Tamandua tetradactyla: one gene and its partners. The protein of the gene in region 2 interacts with the protein of the main gene of each other region in a pairwise test. Links are inferred from orthologs where the notes say so. Each region holds a gene or a part of one and is shown on either strand. Other genes may lie near its edges.

Region 1 (3,747 bases), on a different chromosome or scaffold from region 2:
TTGTAAGAGGTAGAATTTTAGTCTCCAGGTTAGTCATTTCACATGTTAATTGCTTTGTTTGTTTATAAATAACAAACACACAAATGTTCTTGACGTGGTTACAATCAGTGGCTCACAATATCATCACATAGTTATGTATTCATCACCATGATCATCTTTTTTTTTTTTAAACATGGGCAGACACCGGGAATTGAACCTGGGTCCTCTGGCATGGCAATGATCATCTTTTTGAACATCTGCATCTCTCCAACAAGAGAAAAAAGAAAAAAGTCATGCATGCCATACCCCTTACCCCTCCCTCTCATTGACTGCTAGTATTTCAATCTACTCAATTTATTTTAACTTTTGTTCCCCTATTATTTATTTCTTATCCATATTTTTTGCTCATCTGTCCATACTGTAGATAAAATGAGTATCAGACACAAGATGTTAAAACTGTTTTTTTTTAATTAAAAAAAATTTTTTTAAACATAACATACAAACACAAACATTCCCATTTTTGGTATATAATCAATAACTCACAATATCACATAGTTGTATATTCATCACCATGATTTCTTAGAACATTTGCATCAATTCAGAAAAAGAAATAAAAAACTCATACATACCTCTTACTCCTCCCTCTCATTGAGTGCTAGTACTTCCATCTACCCAATATATTTTAGCCTTTGTTTCCCCTATTTTTTTCTATACTCCTTACCATTCCCTTTCATTGATCACTAGTATTTCAATCTACTCAATTTAACATTTGTTCCCCCTATTATTTATTTTTAATCCACATGGTTAAAGTTTTTTGATAAATTACACTCTTGCTTTCTTGATTTCCCAAAAGCTGCTGTCTTTTCACTAAGAATCCAGTAACTGAACCCAGAAAGGAACTCGGGTGGAGATGTGGTGAGGGAGGAGGGAATTGATCTAATCTAATAATTGTAGATTATTTCACTTGACCCTATCACATCACTTCTTAACTGCACCAACTAAACAGTTATCTTTATTTGAAAAAGCTCCAATTCCATGATTCTCCTTTAAATTATTACATTACTTTCTCTTTTCATTCTAGACCTCATTTGACATCTCCAAAATATAACAAGTATGAATACCACTCTTACTTCTCAACACAATCTTCCACACTACTTTTCATTTTCTAGAATGGCAGTTTCTCTTCAATTTTCTTGTGTTTATGTGGCAATAGCTAAGGGTATGCTATCCTCTGGTTATTCCAGAATCATTTTGTTCAGCACTTTCCCAGCCATGACACCAACTCTACACACCAGGATCTTCGTCTGTAGACACAGCTGTGGTTCTGGGGCAGCACAGAACTGTTTCCCCTCTTTCAGCTGCCATTTAATGAACTTGTCATAGCGCTCAGGGTCACTTTCAGCCAGATCATCTAGAAGGTTCCAGAATTGAGTAATTTGGGTAAACAGACCCTTTGAGGATGCGTCCATGATTAATGATGGTGAACAGGTCTCTTAAACCTGTGGAAAGACACGAGTTAAGGGGGAAAAAATCTGCGTGGGTAAGTCATTTCTACTTTGGGGGGAGGGAGGACAGGTATCAGCTACCTTAACATCTGTGTCTCAAAGATTGTGGCTTAGCGCTGCTATCTTTTCCTTATTTCCTATTCAGCACCCCTTCCTAATTCTCAAGTCATCAAAGATAAGGCCTTACCCCTATTTGGAATCTCACAAGCCTAGAGATGGGAGAGGAGACACTTTCAGTTTGGGTTTCTGGCTCTCTTCCTGTTCCAACACCTGTGTATCCTTAATTGCCGGCTCCCCAGTCCTGGAGTTGGCAGAGGTGCGTGTGGGGTGAGGTCCATTGGAAACTTCGGTATAGCTTAGTAGATAAAAGCATGGAATCTGGAGCCAGAAGGTTAAGCTTCTAATCTTAGCTCTATCACTAGATGGATGACCTTGAGCAGTTACACACACACACACATTATATATATATATATTATATATATAATATATATTATATATATAATATATATATTATATATATAATATATATTATATATATAATATATATATATAATATATATATAATATATATTATATATATATTAATATATATATATATTATTATATAAAATATATATATATATTTTGTTAATAATATATATTAGGTGATTCTCAAAATGAAGACGATAATAAAATGCCTATCTCAAGGAGTTACTTGCAGGATTGAGTAAACTAATATATATATATAGATTTACACTTGGTAAACGCTAAATGAAAGTAAAAATACCCTTTCTAGATCTTGGAATATCACGTCCCCCACTCCTACCCTATTTCCTTCCCTCCGCGTCCACTGGAGAGGAGTCCCATACCACCGACTGAGGCTTCGAATACTGTATGAGATAAGGCTAAATAGGAAACTTAACTTTGGGCAATCATTCCAGAGGCCGGTGAATCCACTTCCCTCGGATCCTTGACACACAGCGCGGCGCCTGTTACCAGGGTAACCAGGCTGGGCGCAACGCTTAATTGGGTCCGGGAAGCACCAGTCAGAAAGTTCTCCTTACTTCCAGTTCCGGAATCTCACTCTTCCGGTCGTGGGTTCACTTTTCTGCCGGGTCTGACCCACTTCTCTTCCAGAAAAGCGCCAGCCTCCCACTTGCATCCATCGACCTCTGGAGTATCCTGTAAATTCTATCTGTGACACACTCTGTGCCAACCATTGGTGGGAAGAATTTCTCAGGAGCACGACTTCCGGCCTGAAAGGGAAGCCTCCTCCTTTTTCTCCCAGATCGCTTCCTCCCCCCACCCCCGCCACGCGAGGCTGCGGCGCACGGTATGGGTGTGTTTGTGTGTATTTGTGTGGGGAGGGCGTTTGGAGGGGAGGTTACCGGGAGCTCCGAGGCCGTTGGCCGCTGGGTGGCGGGGATACCGGTGATAAAGATGGGGGTATTTTCTCTGTCTTCCTCTTGGAGACCTCAACCTCCCCGTCAGGCCCTCTAGATACTTCCCGGGGCCCAGCCGAAAAGTCATACTTATCCAGAACGTCCCCGTCCTTATCTGGGGAGCAAAACTCAGTCCCCGGGTCCATCCCAGCGGAGCCTGAGCGGGGAAAGCCGACCGGGCCGTCCAGATTCCGCTCCAGCGCAAGCTCCGGCCTCGCTTCGGGAGAACTGCCTGTCGGTCTGGGCTGGGGGAAAGGCAGCCATGCCTGGGCCACGGGTGAGGGCATAATAACCGGTGGGAAGGCTGCGTTTTCACGAAGGACTCGGGTGAAGCTGCAGAGCTGCCTTTGAGCCCTGACTCCTTGGCTTCCTGGGTCGGAGGAGATCTTGTAATGGAGTGGTTCTTCGTCTCACACTAACAAGATGCCTGATTTCCTCAGGATCGAGGGGTGAGTGAGCTATGGGGTGGTTGCACAAAGCCCCTGCTAGCTAACACGTTAATATCTTTGTCCTCTAGAAGTTGGAAGCTTTTGCACAAAATAGGAAATAAAATTTCTCTGAAGGAAGAAATTTAGGGTATCTCTGCATCTGATGTTTCCAAGAGTCAGTTTTTATATTTGTTGACACTTGTAGTCACTGACACTTTTAAATTTAGATATTTGCTTCATTGCAAATTAATTTTGGGAATCAAGAATTTTCTAATTTGGATCTTTATATATACGTTGCTTGCCTGAGACTCTCTGGCCGACAAGTTAGGGCTTTCAGGAAAGTTGATCTGTAAAATAGGGATGAAGATAACTTGCCTCATATAAAACACATAGTTATTGTGAGGATGAATGAAA
Region 2 (3,747 bases):
CACGAATTCTCAGTGCGCATCTTTCGCGTTTAAAAAGTTTTAGTAGGTAAAATACGTAAAGTTAACAGAGCCCGCGCATTTTAAAGATAACGGGCAGAATCAGAAGGTGAGGGTCTCCGTATGCAAATACGTGAATTACAAATACTGCACACAGGCGACGGCCGCTTCCGCACTTGCGCTACTGCGCGCACCCGGACGCCCGCCGGCGCGGGGGCAGCGATTTGCATGTGCGAAATCGGGAAGAGGGGGAACCACCTATCAAAAACCCCGGACCGTCCTCCGCCCAGCTCAGGTGGGCCGGCCCCACTTCGCCGCCCGCCCCGCCCCGAAGGGCTCCCCGGCGGCCGGCCCTCTCGACGTCACCGCCTCGTCCCACCCGCTCCTGAACTTTAAACCAGGCAGAGGAGAACAATCTGGAGGAGGGGGATTTCTCCGGAGCCCGCGGCTTCCGCACGCTCGAGACCGTCACCTCCTGGCTCCCGTCGTTCCCTGCGCTCCCAAAGATTCTGCATTCCGGGATCCGGGGCTCCCGCGACGCAAGTCCCGAGCCCGCTGCAGAAGGAGGACGCACGCGCGGGGGCGGGGAGCGGGCGCGGGTGGCAGGGGCGGGGCGGAGCGCGCGCTCGCCGCGGGAACGCCCTGCCCCCGGCTCCCGGGGGAAGGCGGTGGCGAGGGGCCGACGTCAGCCGCGGGAAATCCCCCTCCCGCCCTGCTGTCCGCCTCCTCGGCCCGGCTGGTTCTCGGCTCTCATCGCGCTCCGCCCCCTGCCCCTGGCTCCCGCACCCAGGACCGGCGACGCTGGGTGACCCGGAGCGCGAGAATCAAGGGGGTGGGAAGGTGTGAGCCGCAAACTCAAGGGAGGGCGGGAAGAAGAGGAGGGTCCGGGGGTGGTCCGGCGAACTGGGGGTCCCGCCGGCAGAGGTTCCGCGGTCGCCTGACTGACTGACGGGCTGATTGGCTTCGGCGGCCTCCTGCCCGGACGCTTGGGGTTGCCTGCGGGTAGGCGCGGTGAGCGGAGCCATGGCTTCGGGTGAGTGTTTCAGGCAAGGGGGACCGAGGGCCGTGGCGCGAGGCCGGGCCGGGATGTCGGGGCAAGGGCTCAGGGGAAGGAGCTCGGCCGGGGGGTCTTCCTCCTCTGACGGTGGGGGCTTAATGAGGTGGAGGGTGCGGGAGCCTCTTGGTTTCCTGAGTTTGGGTTGTAGCTCATTCTGTCTTTAAAAAAAATCGCCTTACCTGGCAGATTGTCAAGCGTTTAAAAAAGTTTCCTGGTGCAGGGTTTGCGTGCAAAATCAAAGCCACGCTCTGTAATTTGATACTATTATAATAGCCGGAACCTTAGAAATTCCTAACGGCTTGATTTCAGAATTAGGGAAGGAAGACCCTAAATCAAGGAGGACGCGTCGTGCTGGCATTAAAAACTGATTTGTACTGAAATGGTAGTGTTAGATTTTAGAACAGGAATGAGGAACCTTCAGAGCCGGGAATAAATTTCAGATGTCGAGAGGTGAACCCAGTTGTGCTGACAGTTGTACAATATGCGGCGAGGCTTTAAAACTTGTCAGTGGTATTTGTCCTAAGTGGAGATGTTGCTTCAACAACGTGGGGATGATTTTTACTGTGAAATAAAGTAGGCTTTTAGTTTACCGAGTTGCCCCCCCCCCCGCCCTTTATTGAAAGTAAGGGGAAAAGAGGATTTTTATAGTACTTGTGCTTCCATGATATGGATAGGAGTAAAAACAACTTTATATCACTTATGTAAATGTTTATTTCCAGTTAGTAAATGTTTGAAACTCTTGTTTCGGAGGAAATGAGTTTAGTAGGAAACAGTTTACGGACAAGGAAGGGAGTCTCAAATCTACAAGTCTGCCGAATAATCTAGGGGATAGATTAAGTAGACCGCGTTAGAATTGGACCTTTGCCAAGATTTTGGTCCGGTGGATGGGGGCAGGGTCGCTTTCCAGGCCGAGGGAGCACCTGAGAAGACGCTGGGAAGCCTAAAACTACAGTTAATACTGTACTGGGAGGCTGGAGAGGAGGGGGCTTGTTTATGCTCGACACCCTCCCCCCCTCCGATTCTCCCAACTTTGTTTCAGTGACCCTCAGTAGAAGGCTGATGTCTCCTAGAGAAGAGGAAGTAGAAAGTATAAGGGACCTTGTAAAAGGGTTGAACTGAACAATGCTTAAATACTACGGTAGGCTGAAAAGGAAATAGGGGTGTTTCACATGACATTTGATTTCAATTTGTCTTTGTGGTTTTCATGTGAGAATACAAGTATAGTTTAAAATATTTCAACTTTCCCTTTACCCACTTCAGTGACCCCAACTTTCAGATATTCTTCTAAGTTCATAAATTCAAAGCACATTTAGACTGAAAGTACAAAGATAACTTTAAGTGTTTGGCTAATTTATTGGTTATCAAAAAAGAGATTTTGTATGAAAGTAGTAAAGAATGGTGATCGTTGCAAGTAAAGAATGTCAGGCGGCTGTCGTTTTAATCAAACTTTATTAATTTATTGCATGAATGTATTGTAATACTTCTAATTCTTTCAAAAGAGAAAAGAATTGGCCATTTTTATATAGAGTATTATAAGACCACATGATTTAAAAGTGTGCTTTTTAATGATACTATATCTTTTTAATGATACTATATCTGCTTTTATGAGGACTAAGAATTACCTAAATTGGAGGGGCAGGGAGGAATTTGAAAGTTGAAGGGTGATTTTCTTCTTTTTTTTGCTTTTTTTCAAGAGTTGCATTAAAATGGGATTATTTAAAATTTTGCAAGTTGTTTAAAAATGTAATCCAGTGTTTTGAAAACTGCTAGGCCTTACCGGATGTCATATGTAAACAAATTTTTGTAATTGAAATATATGCTCTGTATAATGTAAAAGTACCATAGATCATAATCTCATAAGCAAAATTAGTTGAGTGTCATGAGGAAGATAGAGTAACTGGGACTTTGGTAGTGTATGTGATTCTGAATTTTGTTCAGATCAGTCATCAGGTTAATTATTCAGGGTTTCAGCTCTGTCTCTAGTAACTGTTTTTCAATGCTTTGAAAAAAAGCAAAACAGCCACAAAGCCTTGATTCCAGTCTGTGGACACAATTAGAATAGCATTGTGAAGAAAAATGTTCCTAAAACTGTCTAAGATATGTATATTAGACAATTATTACTTTTTTTGTATTTATCATTCTTTTTCTATTGAATACAAGTAAAATTAGCTATTTTATGTGTGAATTCAAAACTTTTCATTGTTCCAGTAAAAGAAGCAAATTGTCTTTGTGTGGCTTGTGGCTCTGTTTACTAATAACTAGCACCATCTTTAATAAAACATGTTTTAAAATTTAGATAATTTTTTTATTAAAAAATTTCCTTAGTAAAGTTTTGCTATGTCACATAATGAAAGAACTACACAAAGAAATTGTTTCTGTAAACTGTACTACTTTACCAACTCTTTGATTATAGTATGAATTTCAAGGCAACTTTTTTTTCCTCTTGGGTTGTAGATATGATTCAACTTATTTTTAATGCTAGAGCTGGAAGTTAAGAATGGATAGCTAAAGCAAATTATTGTTTTTTTAAGTAAAAAACTGTCTATGTAAACATAAATATTGTTTCAGAAATGCAACATGTGGAAGGGTAGAGATAAATGATATAAAAGAATTAAGGTGATATATGATAGACAGAGTGGAGGGAAAGAGTGAATGAAATAACTGGGGAGGAATAAGATGAATCATAATTAGGA
Region 3 (3,747 bases), on a different chromosome or scaffold from region 2:
TCCAGAGATAGGTTACAGCTGAAGGCGCCGGTTAGACTCAAGGTAGCAGTCCCGCCCCCGTGCCTACCTCGGACCCCTGACACTGCGACATACTCCCCCACACCTGCCACCGCCCGCGTACTGTATGTCCCCAGCAGTTCCACCTGCTAGGCTGGGGCCTGGGTCCCCCGCCCGTCCACCTGGTGCCCCTGTGCCCACCCAGCCAGGCAGCAGGCATAGGCCAGACATGGAGCCAAGGGGACAGCTGGTCTGTGTGCTGCAAGGACACCTGCCCACAGCCCACAATCCGCCCAGGACCCCCAAACCCGCCCACAAATCCCAAACCAGCCAGAATCTGCAAAACTGCCTGGGCCCAGCCCGAGCCTGAGGGTCCCCGTGGCCCAGTCCTGGAAGCAGCTCTTGGGCCTGCAGCCCTGCGACTTGCCCCAGGGTCCCCGGAGGAGACAGCCCCCCAGGGTCTGCACACGTCGCTCACTCCCTTGCACTTCTGTGGCTTACTCAGCTGTCCGTGGGGACTCGGCCCAGAGACCTGAGGCCCCACCCTGGGCTGGGTCCCTCCTGGGAGCACCGCTGACCGGGACGCAGCCACCGCAGGAGCCTGGGACCCACACTGGAAGCTGCCCTGCGAGTGGACCACACCGCCTCCCCAAGACCTCCCACCCCACTGGGGGCTCTCCTGGTGCCAGGTCTGGGATCTGTGAGGGCCTGGGCAGGACGCCAGAAGCCCGGCCTTGGTGCCAGCCCAGCACTCCTGTGACCTTGGGCCGTCCCCTCCCCTCTGGCCCAGGCTCCTCGCAGGTGGGCAAGTGAACAAGCGGACAGCTCCCTCCCTTTGGGCCCGCCCTCCAAGGTTCCCGGATGCTGACAGGCCCTGGGGAGAGATGTGTGGACACAGCAAGGCCTCGCCCTCCTGCCAGGGCTCTCCCCTCTGCGAGCCGGCAGCATAGCTCGGGGCGGCAGGCAAGGGAGCAGGTGAGCCGCTGTCCCTCTGTCACAGCCTCGGGACCCCATGGCAAGGACATCACAGCACGTCAGCAAAAGTCAGTCAGTGCTAGGCTGGAGTGGGCCTCAGCTTCCCGTCGGCTGCAGCCCCTGGGTCCTGCCAACCAGCCTGTGCACCTGGGGGCTGGGAGCTGCTGAGCAAACGGAAGGCTGCCCCTCAGAAGGCACGACAACACCTGCCGTGCTGGGACCTGAGATGGCGGCCCCGCCACACCCGGCCGTGCCCCTGGACCCCAGGGCCTTGGAAAAACAGCCAGCTAGACCCCCAGTGCCGAGCAGGGCAGGGCAGGCGGAGGGTATAGGGAGGTGGGGCGGAGGGGCTCAGCTCACTCTGGGAAGTTCAGCAGGTGCCCGAGAGAGGAGAGCCGCTCCAGGCCACCCTATCCCCAGCCCCTGAAGCCCCACCCTGTGCACCTTCAGGGACACAGGGTTGGGGGGGGGTGGGGAGAAAGTCCTTGGGCCTGTCATGGAGGCCGAGTGTGGGGCATCCTGTCTCAGCCCCTGCCCAAGCAGAGCCGGGGCCTCGGGGACGAGGGACTGAGCAGCTCATGAGCACCTGCAGCTCCAAGCCCTCCCCACCCTGCCGGCCAGCACCCCTGACCCTGGGACCCTGGGACTCTGGGAGGGAGAAAGTGGAGCAAGCAGTGCTATCAGGAGTGCTGTCCTCAGCGGGGGGCAGGGGTGCTTTCACTTCGAGCTGTGCTTAGCTTTGAAACAAGAAGGCACTGCCCGGAAGAGACAGGAGCTCAGAGGAGCATGGTTTTAGGGGTCTGAGGGGCAGTGGGCCAGATGGTGAGGTGCCCACTGCCACCTGGGCATCAGGCTTGGCCGGGATGCCTGTGTGGCCTCCAGGAATCCCAGGTCACAGGGGTCCGGGAGGGCACTTGGCCCCCTGGGTCCAGGGCTCAGTATCCCTGCCCCAAGAGAGCCTCACAGGATGGCAGTGTCTGCACTAGCCCCTTCCTGGGGTCTCAGGCCAGGGTGGGGACCACAAGGAACAGAAGTGGACACGGCACCCAGCAAATCCAAATCAGAGGCAGCCCTTGCTGCCAGACCCTGACCCAGTGGAATCGGCCCACAGAGCCACTAGGGATCATGTCCAGCCTCCAGGCAGCAAGCCCGGCTCAGCCCTCAGTCCAGGTCTGGATGACCCCCAGTTCAGCCCCTCACCGGCTCAGGAGGCCCACGGCCCGCCCCCTTGCCCCAGCGGCCGGCTCAGCCCCTCCCGGGCCCCTCCACCTTTCCACCCAGTGCACAGGGCCTGGGAGGAAAAGGGCGGTGGGGCAGCCGGGCCCTAGGACTCAGCGCAGCGCGGGCGTCCTCTCCACCGGCCGCTGGGGCCAGGGCGCCCGCGGCCCGGGGTGGGTCACAATGCCCGCCGCCCCTCCCGCGGCCCGCGCTGCTCTCACCGCTCCTCCTGCTGTGGCCGGCGGCGCGCGGATGTTGAGCGAGCAGCAGCAGCAGCAGCGGCACCGCCACCGCCGCGCCCCCGGTCCCGGTCCCAGGCCGGCCCATGGCGGCGCGCTCCGCCTGGCGCTACCCGGCCCGCGTCCCCGGCCTCCCGCCCGCGCGGCCGCCCGGGCAGCCTCCGCCGCAGCCTCTGCGGCGGGCTCCCATGGTCGTGCCGGTCCCGGCCGCCGGCGCCCGCGGCACTTCCGCCTGCGAGGCCCCGCCCCGCCCGCCCGGAGCCCGGCGGCGCCGCGAGGGTGCCGGGGGCGCGTGTGGCCGGAGGGCGTGGGGAGCGCGGAGGCCGCGCGTGGCGTGGGCGTAGAGGTGGCGGGGGCGCGCGGGAAGGACTGCGGGCCGGAGGGGGCGCCGAGAGGAGGGGCGAGGGCGACCGGGCGCGGGGGCAGCGGCTGGGTGGGCCGAGGGCGGTGACCCGGTGGGGAGAGGGGGGCGCGCGGCCGGGGGTCTCCCCACGTGCTATGTGAGGGGCTGCCGCTTCTCTCCTGAGTCCCGCGGCCCCGCACCCCACTGGCTGGTCGCCCAGGCCGGGCCTCGGGGTGCCGCGACCCTCCCAGGAAAAGACGGGGCCCCGCGTCCATGAGGGCGCTGCGCAGGACGCGGAGAGCCGGTGGCCCCCCAAGAAGGCGAGTCACACTCCCCCTGTGCTGGATTCCAAATGGATTAGAAACCTAAGGGCAGAAGAACAGGATGAGAGGACTGGGGGAAACGGGGAACTTCTCAGTCGTGAGGGAGCCGCCGGTGCAGGCTGAGAAGGGGACGCCAGCTCCCTGCAGAGCCGGGCCAGCAGCCGCCGCTCACAGCCCAAGCGGCCCGTTTAAATGGTCCTAAAAGCGCCCACTGGAGACGGCGAATCAACAGGAAACTACACCCGAGAAAGCAACCAGCGGCGAGGGAGCCAGGGAAGGGCCCTCGAAGGCACAGCAAGGGAATCCACAAAGATGCCTTCTCTTCCACCTGACAAAGTGACAAAGCAAGTCCGGGAGGGACAGGCGCTCCTGCGGTTTGGGGGCGCACGGGGGCGAGTCCCAGGCAGTCTGCGAGGTGCGGGGCCCTGCACGCCGAGGTGTCCTCTCCAGCCCTTCCCTGCGGTCCGTGCTCCACAGGCGCCAGGCCCTGCCCTGGGGAGGCCCGGGGCTGGTGGCCACAGGCCAGACAGAGGGGCTGAGAGGAGCCATGGCTGCGGGAGGGAAGTGGGCAGGAGGGCCGGGGGCTACCGGTTCCCCTAGCCTGGGAGGCGTGGGTGGTGGCTGCCCGCCTGATGCCGTGTCTGTGGAAACA

Evidence for each region.
Region 1: the proteins of REL (region 2) and PIH1D2 interact in binary tests that used the Homo sapiens proteins (3 or more experiments, as listed by UniProt). The two-hybrid records come from large-scale screens. The link is inferred for Tamandua tetradactyla from reciprocal best matches to the Homo sapiens genes REL and PIH1D2.
Region 3: the proteins of REL (region 2) and PGAP6 interact in binary tests that used the Homo sapiens proteins (3 or more experiments, as listed by UniProt). The two-hybrid records come from large-scale screens. The link is inferred for Tamandua tetradactyla from reciprocal best matches to the Homo sapiens genes REL and PGAP6.

Annotation. Positions count from the first base shown.
Region 1 is NC_135334.1:29,180,779-29,184,525, reverse strand, and holds the start of PIH1D2 (PIH1 domain-containing protein 2), read right to left. Parts: upstream 2,497-3,747; 5' UTR 2,388-2,496; exon of another isoform or gene 2,290-2,387; intron 1,481-2,289; 5' UTR 1,449-1,480; coding exon 1,272-1,448; intron 1-1,271.
Region 2 is NC_135343.1:33,247,099-33,250,845, forward strand, and holds the start of REL (proto-oncogene c-Rel), read left to right. Parts: upstream 1-1,101; 5' UTR 1,102-3,747. UniProt on the Homo sapiens protein: Proto-oncogene that may play a role in differentiation and lymphopoiesis.
Region 3 is NC_135349.1:56,950,603-56,954,349, reverse strand, and holds the start of PGAP6 (post-GPI attachment to proteins factor 6), read right to left. Parts: upstream 2,518-3,747; coding exon 2,412-2,517; intron 2,325-2,411; exon of another isoform or gene 2,173-2,324; intron 1-2,172. UniProt on the Homo sapiens protein: Involved in the lipid remodeling steps of GPI-anchor maturation. Lipid remodeling steps consist in the generation of 2 saturated fatty chains at the sn-2 position of GPI-anchor proteins (GPI-AP).